Linked DNA regions of Pelodiscus sinensis. The protein of the gene in region 2 interacts with the protein of the main gene of each other region in a pairwise test. Links are inferred from orthologs where the notes say so. Each region holds a gene or a part of one and is shown on either strand. Other genes may lie near its edges. The genes, in order: PPM1E, DISC1 and MEMO1.

The links.
Region 1: the proteins of DISC1 (region 2) and PPM1E interact in a two-hybrid assay, tested with the Homo sapiens proteins (2 studies listed by BioGRID and IntAct). The link is inferred for Pelodiscus sinensis from reciprocal best matches to the Homo sapiens genes DISC1 and PPM1E.
Region 3: the proteins of DISC1 (region 2) and MEMO1 interact in a two-hybrid assay, tested with the Homo sapiens proteins (2 studies listed by BioGRID and IntAct). The link is inferred for Pelodiscus sinensis from reciprocal best matches to the Homo sapiens genes DISC1 and MEMO1.

What each region holds. Positions count from the first base shown.
Region 1 is NC_134731.1:5,128,455-5,132,201, forward strand, and holds the start of PPM1E (protein phosphatase 1E), read left to right. Parts: upstream 1-998; 5' UTR 999-1,181; coding exon 1,182-1,489; intron 1,490-3,747. UniProt on the Homo sapiens protein: Protein phosphatase that inactivates multifunctional CaM kinases such as CAMK4 and CAMK2. Dephosphorylates and inactivates PAK. May play a role in the inhibition of actin fiber stress breakdown and in morphological changes driven by TNK2/CDC42.
Region 2 is NC_134713.1:124,059,226-124,062,972, reverse strand, and holds the start of DISC1 (disrupted in schizophrenia 1 protein), read right to left. Parts: upstream 2,964-3,747; 5' UTR 2,879-2,963; coding exon 2,824-2,878; intron 2,768-2,823; exon of another isoform or gene 2,548-2,767; intron 1-2,547. UniProt on the Homo sapiens protein: Involved in the regulation of multiple aspects of embryonic and adult neurogenesis. Required for neural progenitor proliferation in the ventrical/subventrical zone during embryonic brain development and in the adult dentate gyrus of the hippocampus.
Region 3 is NC_134713.1:134,287,846-134,291,592, forward strand, and holds the start of MEMO1 (protein MEMO1), read right to left. Parts: upstream 2,756-3,747; 5' UTR 2,677-2,755; coding exon of another isoform or gene 2,616-2,676; intron 1-2,615. UniProt on the Homo sapiens protein: May control cell migration by relaying extracellular chemotactic signals to the microtubule cytoskeleton. Mediator of ERBB2 signaling.

The DNA.
Region 1 (3,747 bases), on a different chromosome or scaffold from region 2:
ATCTTCCCATGCATATAGGCTCCAGTCTGCACCCCTCAATCTCCACCTCCATCAGAGTGCAGGGGTGGGGCAGGCAGATGCTGTGCTGGTGGGAAGCCTGCTTAAAGACAGCTCATGGGCAGCAAGGGGGGTGAACTGATAAACCCAGGCTATCCATCAGTTATTCATTTACTCAACTACCCACTAACATCCATACTCTGGATTGCATTTTGCTAGATTTACAACAATGTTGGTTTACTGTCTTGATCACCTAGAAGTGAAAGGCGAGTACAACACCCTCTGATTTCCTGGCATATCCACGTCGATGGCCCTATTAAACTGATCACATACTAGAGATGTGTGGTCTAGTTTCTCGTGAAGTTATAAACACACAAAGCAGTGGGATAAACGTGCTCGTCTCCGGGATGTTCGTAACACACCTACCAGTCAGACCGCTCTGATGGAAGGTTGCAACTGGGACACGCTTCATTCTCAGCACGCTCGCTCACCCCGGCACCCATAACACAGGGAGCGGAAAAAACAGGCTGCTCCCAAGAGCCCTCGGGCACAAGCCCCCCTTCGCCCCTTTGTTTTAAGCTGGTTCTTGTCAGGTGGCCTGCTGCTGGGCCCGCGCTGCGCGCACACAGCCCTGCGGCCAAGGCGAGGGACACCCTCTGAGCACTTACCCGCGTCTGCCTCGCGCCTCTCTGCCTGCAGCATGGGGGCCGGGGCGGGGGGGTGCTCGGGCAGCTTGTGCACGAACGAGCATCCGCCCCTCTCTCTGGTGATCTGTCAGGGAGTGTCCGTCGGTCCATCCCTCCGCCTGCGGCTCCGTCTCCCTCTTTTCGTGGGTGGGTGGGGGAGGGACAGAGCAGCTTCAGCCTCGCGCCAAGTCCGCGCGCTTTCATGCCTCGGCCCCTCCCCCTCCCCTGTGACGCGTAGTCTCTCAGCTCCCTGAGGGCCGGTGGGTTTTTTTTTTTTTTTTTTTTCCCGCGCGGCGCACGAGCCTCCACTCCCCCTCCTCCCCTCGCTCCCTGCGCCGCTCCCCGCTGCCCACCCTGCCCCCGCCGCGTGCGCGCCCCCGCGGGGCCGGCTCGGGAGAGCGCGCGCAGGGAGGGAGGTTGGCCGGCCGGTAGGCGGGTAGGGAGCTCTCTGCGGGCGCAGTGCTGATCCGCCGGCAGGCAAGCCGGGAATGCGAAGCGATGGCCGCCGGCGGCTTGGGCAGCAGCGCTGAGGAGAAGACCTACCGCCGCTTCCTGGAGCTCTTCCTGGGCGAGTTCCGCGGGCCCTTCGGGGCCGAGCCGGCCCCCGCGCCCCCCGCCGTCGGGGCAGAAGGGGAAGGGGCAGCGGCCACCCCCGGGGAGGCGGAGGAGAGCGACGCCGGGGACCCCCAGCCTCCCACCCCTCCGCCACCGCTGCCGCCGCTGCCCCGGCCGCTCTCCGAGCACATCATCGAGGAGGAGGTGGAGGGCGAGTGCCTGGACCTCTGCCTGCAGCAGCTCTACAAGTAGTGAGTGCCGGGCTGGGGGACCTCGGGGGCTCTGGAGGGGCAGGGCAGGGCGGGGCAGGGCTGACCGGGAGGGGGGAGGTAGGGCAGACCGATCTGGGGTGGGGGGCAGGGCAGACCAGGCTGAGGGGGGCACGACGGACCGGGCTGGGGAGCTCTGGGGAGGGGCAGGGCGGACTTGAAGGGGCAGGCGTGTGGGCTCTGGAAGAGGCAGTGGGACCAGGGAATAATGGCCATGGCTTGAAGGGGCAGAGGGAGCACTGAGTGGTTAGGGGCCACAAGGGAAGCGTGGGGGACAGGCCACTTTTGGTGTTGAGATGCCTAGGAGAGGTCAGCAGGGAGAGACCCATGGCCGTCTCTTCCTGTTTTATCCCCCCCCCCCATTCCTTTTGTCTCGTTCCCTCCATCGTGCTGGGACAGGGGAGCTAGTTGAAGCCCTGGGCATCCCTCTCTAGAGCAGCTTGGGTCATGTCTTACGTTCTGGTGCCAGAGCAGGAAGGATTCTGCCATTCTGCGTCTGAAACTGACTGTTCCCAGCAGGAGGTTTGTAAATGTGGAATCAACTGCCAAGAAGTTAGTTTCTAATGCAAGAAAAGAAAAAAAGAGGCAATATGAAGAGGCAACATAAGGAGAAGGCTCCCAGTGATGTTGGGGCTATTTGTCCTGTCAGAGAGAGAGAGAGAGGAAAACCATGTACATCGTGGTTTTTGCTGGGCAGGGGCAATTTCCAGATCTGTGCTTTGTAAAGGACTAGAACATAAAGGGAACACATAAGGGACATATTCCCAGTGTGGAAAGGTCTGCGGACTGGAATCTAAAGATCAGTTATTCGTCCTATGTATTGTGTTTGACTGTGTAGGTTTGAAATAGGCATGGTTGTTAATGGTGAGTCTTTCAAAAAGGACCTTGCAAAACTGATGCTATAGGAGGAGACAGATGAACCTGTGAAAATATGCACAGCAGGCTGGGGAGCTTTCTGACATTGAGCTGTTAATTGTAATGAAAGGTGTTACTCCATTGCGGGCACACACACTCACACAGAAAAGCAAGTTTTACAACTACATGATCTGCTTCTCTTAAATTCTGATCTGACTTCTGCATTTGTGGATGACAGGGACAGCAGAACATGGGCCTTCAAGGACAAAGCTTTTCCATTCACACGCCTTTTTAAATATCTTTTTAAAAGCCAGACTTGTGCATGGAGCAAAAGGAAAATAAATCTCAATAGGATGTGAGAAATGGGAACAGATTTATTTGCCTTTTGGTAGAAGTACATGGAGTATAACAAATTATTGTGGGTCCAATTCTGTAAACCTGCACTACACTTGAATTCTTCATTTAAGTCAGTGCTTGAAGAACTGGGCTCTATGGCACAATTTGTGTCTCTCTCTTTTCAGATTAAGCAGGCAAGAGCATAAAAAAAAAACAGTATGAAGGGATCTCTCTGTCATGGAGTGGTCTTCTGCTGCTTTTTCACCTTTGTGCATATCTATGGGTTTTTGAATTAATTGCTTTATAGATTTGGTTTTGTTCCTGGTGACGGCAACACAAAATCTCCTTATAGCTTCCTGTTTCATGAAGCAGAAGGCAGCATCTGCCTCAAAACCAAGGGAATACAGAGATTATGCTATTACAATAGTCCTCTGTCTGAGGAGGTGTTACGCAGAGTTTTAATTGTTAAGCCTCCCATTTTTGCAAATAGAATTTCTGTATTAGATTATGCAATCATAACCATAGACTTACACAACTAGGTGTTTTATACTCAACTATGTAAGCTAGCATTTAAAATAAAATGCAATTTCTGAAAGTCTTGAATGATTTTCAGATGTAGGTGGTACTTTTTTTAGTATCTTAGCAAAAAACCATAGATTCTTTTCAACAAACGAATGTATATAAAACAACAAATCAAAGTGGAATGATTTCCACTTGCAAGCTAAATGCTCAATTCTGCAGTTGCTTACAGAGTTGAGTAGCTATAGTGATTTTAGTAAAGTTACTTGCACAAATGATTAAACTGAACATGAAAATAAAAATGAAGTGGTATCTTTTACTACTGTCTCACTGGCAAGGAAGTAAATGTTGTCAAAGCATGTTTTCTGTGACTATAACTATATAGTAGTTAAATGACTGGCTTGCATAATGTGCAGTCAAGACCCACTACTGTGCAAAATTCAGCAGCTGTTTTTCAGTTATTTCAAGCATCAGGAAATATTTTGTTCTTTTGTTTTATTTTGAGAGGCTATGGATCAGAAATGAGATCA
Region 2 (3,747 bases):
ACCTTTGTTTGCTCTTTATAGTTTTTCCAGTTCTGTAGTTACCATGTTCCCATAAACTAAACTAAGGAGAAACCTGTAAAAATCTGACACTTGCTCCCATAGGATCATCATTTGTTTTTAGTACTTTAAATCAAAAGACATTTGTCTTAAACTTATCAAACTTTTTAATGTAGGCAAGGCTTTAAAAAGAAAAGCTACCATCTCTACTGCAGTTTAAGTTTGCTTGCCTTATTTGTGGATTTTAACTACTGACATCACTGTGCTTAAAATGTAGGCCTCTAATTGCAGAGCCAAAATATTTTTTCCAAGAGTGCTGGAAACTTTTCCACACACATAATAAGTTCTGTATTGTATATTTTGTAATAATATTTCAAAACTGTCAGGCTTTCTGGTTGAACAAAAGCAATAAAAACAAATACAGTGGTGCCCTACTAAAATTTCATGTCATTTTGGGGCCTGTGAAAGATCATAACCACTGCATTCCCATAGGAGACAGCTAGGCTTGCCAATATGCACTCCCACAGGTGTACTCAAGTATCACAGAGCTAACTGGCGGGGCAAACACAGCTGGAAGTTGGTAGGCCATCATCAGGCTCAACAGCAGGCTGACCACGAATATTTTATTTCATCTACAACATGAGAGGAAGGAGCAGCTGAACTAGGGCTGCAGGAGAAAAAAGGGGGAAGAAGCTACTTCATGTTTAAAGGGACACCAGCATATTAATTATTCAAGGGCAATTTCTGACCTTACACCAGTCCCTTCTCTTGGTGACAAAGAGAAGCTTTTGGTGTGAAGACCTGAAGAGGAGCTCAGTGTGGCTCAAAAGCCAACTCTCTCTCCAACAAAAGTTGGTTCAATAAAAGATTCTCATATCCAACTCTAATCTCCTGGGATTGTTAGGACTATAACTATGGGCCATTTTTGCGATCGGGGCTTTTTTGCGCAAAACAATACCATGTTGTTTACACTGGCCCTCTTGTGCAAAAGCATTTGCACAAGAGGGCTTTTGCTCGAACAGGAGCAGCATAGTATTTCTGCAAGAACACTGACAATCTTACATGAGATCATCAGTGTTCTTGCGGAAATTCAAGCGGTCAGTGTAGACAGCTGGCAAGTTTTTCCACAAAAGCAGCTGCTTTTGCGGAAAAACTTGCCAGTCTAGATGCAGGCATGCTGTTTATGAAGTCTCTTGTCAATTTGTTGTTGTTTTACAATGGCATCTTTTCCTGCTTTGAAAAATATTGCTCTCTCCTTAACTTTCATACAAACAAACAGAGAAACTGACCAGCTGATTACACAGAACATAGTGAAACAAACTAAAGATCCATCCACACAATGGGAATAATAACCCACAAGAATACTGAGGCTTAAATTGTTTAATACAGTAATATCCATTGGGTGCGTCTAGACTGGCAAAAACTTGCTGCCTGTGTACACTGGCCACGAGAATTTGCGCAAGAGTACTGACATTCTAATGTAAGAATTCAGTGCTTCTTGCGCAAACACTTTGACGCTCCCGCTCAGGGATAAGCCCTCTTGCGCGGGCCAGTGTATACAGTCATCTTAATTTTTTGCGCTAAAATGGCCATCGGAGCTTTCTTGCACAAAAGCGTGTCTATACTGGGCACGGATGCTTTTGCGCAAAAGCACTTTTTGCGCAAAAGCATCCGTGCCAATCTAGACGCTCTTTTGCGGAAATACTTTTAACGGAAAAACTTTTCCGTTAAAAGTATTTCCGCAAAATCATGCCAGTCTAGACACAGCCATTATGTTTTGAGATCCACACATGGTAAAGACCAGGTATTCTTTATTTAGAACACTCAGCGGGAGAACAAACAGTTCATGGATAAATTTGTTTTAGAAATGCAACAGATTCATAGGCAGATTAGCAGAAAAGCCATTACAAGTACTGTACAAAGAAGAATATAATGAACATAATTTATTTTAATATTTATATTTTTAAAATTATTTGGATAGTTCATATTTAAGCAGAGGACAATTTCCCTTAAAATCAAAGCCATCTACCATGAGCAGCTGAGCTAAAATATCCAATCTGGTTTCTATTAGGTTGGGTGGGGTTTTTTTGTTTTGTTTGGGGGGCAGGGATTTGAGGGTGTTGATAGTGCTTCTCTAGTCTGCTCAAGAAGAAAAGAACATTAGAGCAAGAGGAGCCCTCCCAGATGGAAGCCTCATGGACACTATCCAGCCCTGGCAGAAGGACCCAGAACTAAGGTCACCATATTTTTCTAAACTGAAAACGGGATGCTGGGTAAGTAGTGACTCCAGGTAGCTCATCAGACCAGAACCACCTGGTGTGGCCACTCTGCCCAGCTGATTATAGACATCACAACTTGTTTTGGAAAATCTGGATATTTGTCCCACTTGCTTTTGCTCAAACATTCCTCATCCCCCTTCCCCTCCAAGGCAAGAACAGGGGGACAAACGCCAAGTTTTAAAAAAAAAAGTCCTGATCTCCATGACTGCTGAAAAGCAGCGGCCAACCCGCCCCTCGAGTCACCCCGACCCTACCCTGCCCAGCCACTCACCCAGGCTCGCTAACCAGCGTGGGGCTGGGCGCCCCCAGGCTGATCCGGTCCCTTGGGGCTCCCCGCTTGCACAGCGCCGAGCACAGCGCGGCCCTGGCTGCCGGGTGCAAGCGCAGCCCCACGGCCCCTGCCTGCCGCCGCCCCGCCCCGGCTCCGCGCCTGGCACCCCCGAGCTAACGGCTCCCAAGGCGGCGCGGGGCCGAGGCCGGGCTGCTGCGCTCGCCCCTCGGGCGGGCACCGGCCGGTAACGCGCCCCGAGCTCGCGGCTGCGCTCACCTGGGCTCAGCCCTGCGCGCCCGGGCCGCCTCTCGCCGCTGGCGCCGCACCACATCCTCCGCCGCGGACTCGCTGCCGCCGCCGGCCCCAGGCCCAGAGGCGGCCCCGCAGCGCCCCCGCCTGGCCCTACCGGCCGCGACAAACGGTCTCCGCGAGCCACGCCCCAGCCCGGCCCCCTGCACACGCAGCCAAACCCTTCTCCCCTCACGGGCTCCCAGAGCCGCCGGCCCCCCGCCTCTCACTGCCTCATCACAGCTACACGGCCCACAGATAGAGATGCACACACACCGCCGATATTCCCCACACCAGCACGTGCACCCCACACCACCTCATTTCCATATGCATCCACACCTGACACATACACACCATCGATCTACATATAGGAATATATCTTACTCCACATATACAATCCCATGCATTGCATGTTTACACCACATGTACACTACACACCCACACATATACACATATATACACTCACATGCAGCCTCAAGAGTTCAAAAAGCATAAGATTTGATTCAATATGATTTTTTTAAGAAAAAGTGTTGTGGGTGTGAGAGAGAGACGGTTTTATTGGCTTTATGTTTTTGAGCCCTGTGTGTATGTCTCATATGGTTTTATTGGCTTTCTGGGTTTTGAGTCTTTAGTGTGCACTTGGAGCATATTTTCAAACTTTTCTCCACAACTAGAGATTTTTTTATTTAAGCATAAATTCCAGCTTCTCCGTCTTCAAGGAAAACAAATGGTAACACAACTCACAAATAAAATTGTAAGAGTTGACAACACTACACACACACACATATATATATATATTACACACTCATATACAACACAGCTTTGCACATCACACGTATATTACATCCGAAAAGTATATGCTAAAATAACATTAAGGTTGCTACTGAGTACTTCAAAGCTAGTAAATGCAAA
Region 3 (3,747 bases), about 10 Mb from region 2:
TCATATCACTATCGCTCCCTCCTCTTATATTTCCCTGATCTTTGTGTCTTCTCTCCTCAATTATCCAAGACCTCAACATTACAAAAAGCATGTGTCAGAATTTGTTCTCAAGATCAGGCTTCCTTTTGTCCAGTTCAAACTTGTCTGCCTTCCCTGACAATCACCTGTTCTGTGCCATATATGTGATGGCAAAGAACAGGTGATTGTCAGGGAAGGCAGACATTTTTGAAGTGCCAGCAGAAGCAGCATGAAACTGACCAGATCACTGTCTATCACTTTACTGCTAACAATGAGAAGCAATGTGCAATAACAGATTGGATTAGAGACACATTATTAATGTCTCTCACCATATCAGTCCTGCACCATGAGCTCAGGATCTGCACCCTCCATTTCTCCCAAAGGGCCAGCAGAAAGAAATGGAAAAATACAGGAGGATCAGTTGAGCTTCATTTTACTCTTATCCCACGATGTTATTAAAAACGTGCTAGGTGGAGAAACAGCAGCAATACAAATGCTGTTTTTCACCCTGTAGGATTCTTTTTAATGCAGCCAAAACTCTGCTATGGTACCTTGCTTGTACCACAGGATCCCTGATTCTAGCTACTATAGAACATCTATTTCATCAAACTTTACTGTGGGTTATTAGGATGTGTATGTGCAGAAAATATTACTACTCTTTTTACAATATTAAATTTTATCAGAATATTTTAAGTTTTGCATTATTGCATCAACATAAAAATAAAAGCTAGTCTATAGCTTAGAGTGAGTTTCTACATTATCAATCTTAATAGTGGTTTTCAGTAAGAGATGGGAGAAGAGAAACAATGGACTTAGAAGCCACAAGTTATAAAAAAAATTAATGATCCACTTACATTGTGAGTTTTCATATCAGCTATTAGAATTAAGCAGTGAGATAATGTGTATAAGATAACAACTTTATGAAGCAAGAGGCTATGCCTATTCATTTACATATTCCACTTTGCAAGCATATCCAAGTTTCATATGAAGGAGATGCAGAGGCATCCCCAACCTACGTAACCCAGTTTTATTACTACATTAGGGCTATGTCCAGACTGGCATGATTTTCCCCAAATGCTTTTAACGGAAGAGGTTTTCCGTTAAAAGCATTTGCGGAAAAGAGCATCTAGATTGACAAGGACGCTTTTCCGCGATCGGGGCTTTTTTGCAGAAAACAAATCTCAGCTGTCTACACTGGCCCTTTTGCGCAAAAGCTTTGCGCAAAAGGACTTTTGCCCAAACAGGAGCAGTATAGTATTTCTGCAAGAAGCACTGATTTCAGACAGTAAGAAGTCAGTGTTCTTGCGGAAATTCAAGCGGCCAGTGTAGTCAGCTGGCAAGTTTTTCCGCAAAAGCAACCTAGGAGAAAATGTTTGGTTACATTATGCCATTACCCCAGTAAAACTGCAGAGTTTTGTGGGCCAAACAAATATATTGTTTGGCTTTTTTAAATGAATTACTCGATGAATTACTCAATAGAATATTTTCAGATAATACAGAACATTCCCCAGATAGAAAGGAAAAGGAAAATATAGTAAGTCATCCAGCCACCCAAGCAAGTACAGGATTTGCCATCAGCATATTCTTCTGTTCTACAGTCTCCTAGTCCATTTAGATTCATGCACCACATTACATCCTGAGCATTTACCTATGCGTTTAGTATACCTTAGCTACGTTTAAATAGGGCTTTCATTATTTCATGTTATAACACATCTCCATATTAGAAAGTTGTTTGACTAACCTCTTACCAGCTAGTAATTCCATAATTGTCCATAATTGAACACTATACAGTTTCTCACACTGGTAAAGTACCCAGCATCCTCCAACACTACCAGAAGATATGCTCTGAACTATACTGATCATTGGTCTGATTTTGAATAGCAATTTCTACTTTCCTATAGGGTCAATTTGCATGTCCCTTTCCTAGCCATACCACACTGCACTGTCTTAAATGCTTTGGGGGCGACATTGCCCAGGCCACTGGCAGCACAATGAATCATTCCAGTCCTATTTTACCAGACAACTTGCTCGTCAGGCGCACTCGGGGATTTGCTGCACAGTTTTAAAGCTCATTCATTTGGGATAAGGGTACTTAGTGCACGTGCAGCCTTACGGGCTCGCCGGCTCAGGGGCCGAGGTGTGTGCACGAAGGGGGGCGCCCGCAGCCTGGGAAGGAACTGCCACTGCTACAGCCATGTGCCCCGCACAGGCCCCAATATCAGCACCGGAGGCGGGGCCTGCAACTCCCTACCCCGGGGAGGAAGGAAGGGGCCCTACGGCCGGCGCAAGGATGAGTCGCCGCGACGCCGACCCGCCCCTCCGGGGTGGAAAACGCTGACTCAGCCTCCGGCTTCAGCCGGGCCCCTAGAGCCGGCGCGGGGCTGGGAAAAGGCCTCCGAGTCCGACCTCCCGGCCAGGGCCGCAGCTGCCGGGCGCGCACCGCACATCCCCGCGGGGGCCGCAGCTGCTCCGGCCCGCGGCGGTAGCACCCTGCAGCGCTCCCCGGCCCCACTAACCCCCTGCCCCCCTGCCCCAGCCACCCACCTTCTCCCCTCCACCCCCCGGTGGCCGGGGCTGCGCCCGGCCGGCCCCGCTACCTGAGGCTGTGTACCAGCTGCCGGCGTGGCTGGCCTCCCGGCAGAGCACTCGGTTGGACATCTTGGTGCCTGAGCCGCCTATGGTGTTCGGGGGGGAGGGGGCAGGAGACGGGCCCGGCCGCGGCGGCAGCGCTAATCCCCCCTCCTCCCCCGGCAGAGCCCGAGCCCCCGCGAGGGGGGGCGGGCAGTGCTGCCGGAGGCGCCGCGGACCCGGGCGGTGAACGGGGAAGCGCTGCGAGGGGTAGGCGCGGGCTCGGCCGCGGACACGAACCCGGGAGGGGGGAAGCCTGGGACAAAGCCCGAGGCAAGAGCCGGCTACTCCGCGCTCTCGGGCGAGGGGAGGCCGCGGCAGCCGGGTTTGGCCCTGCTCGTCTCCCGTGGAAAGGGGAGGGCCCAGAAGCGGGCCAAGTGGCTCGCCATTGGGTGACGAAAGCAAAAGCCCGGCCACGATTGGATGCCCTTTCTCTCCCCGTTTCCCCCCGCCCTACAGAACCGACCAGGCCTGCAATTGGACCGCGCCGCTGGAGGGGAGCGGAACGAGGGGAGGGAGGTAAAAGACCACAGGCAGGACCCGTATGGATTGGACAGCAGCAGGGTTGCCGTGGTGATGGCTTCTGGCCTCGCTGATTGGCGGGCTGGTGTCTCTGTGGTGGCAGCAGGGCAGATTAGCGGGCAGGGGCGCGTGGGGAAGCTGGGCGCACCCTGGGGGAGCGAGACCACGGGAGAAGTGGGTGGGGGAGGGAGAGCGGAGCTGCCGGGCTAAGCCCCGCCCCAACCAGAGCTACTTGGCCGGCCTGTGGGGCCCTGCTCGCCCTGTGTTGCCCAGGCAGGCCGGAAAGCGAGGCCCTGTGCGGCCCCGGCAACGCTCCCCCCTGCCCGCCTGCACGGGGGCAGCAGCCCGCCCCGCTTCAGCCCCAAGGGCCTAGCAGTGGCACTAGCAGAGGTCCTCTTCGGTCACCGTTGTACCCCAGAGGCCTTGCCTGGGGGGGGGAGGTGCTGACCCACAAAAGCCTTCCCTTTTGGGGGTGCGGGGTGCTCTTTTTACCCCAGAAGCCTTCCCTTTTTGGGATGGGGAGGGGGTGCTGACCCACAGAAAAATCAGTTGGGGCTGCACAAAAACACCTCCCAACTG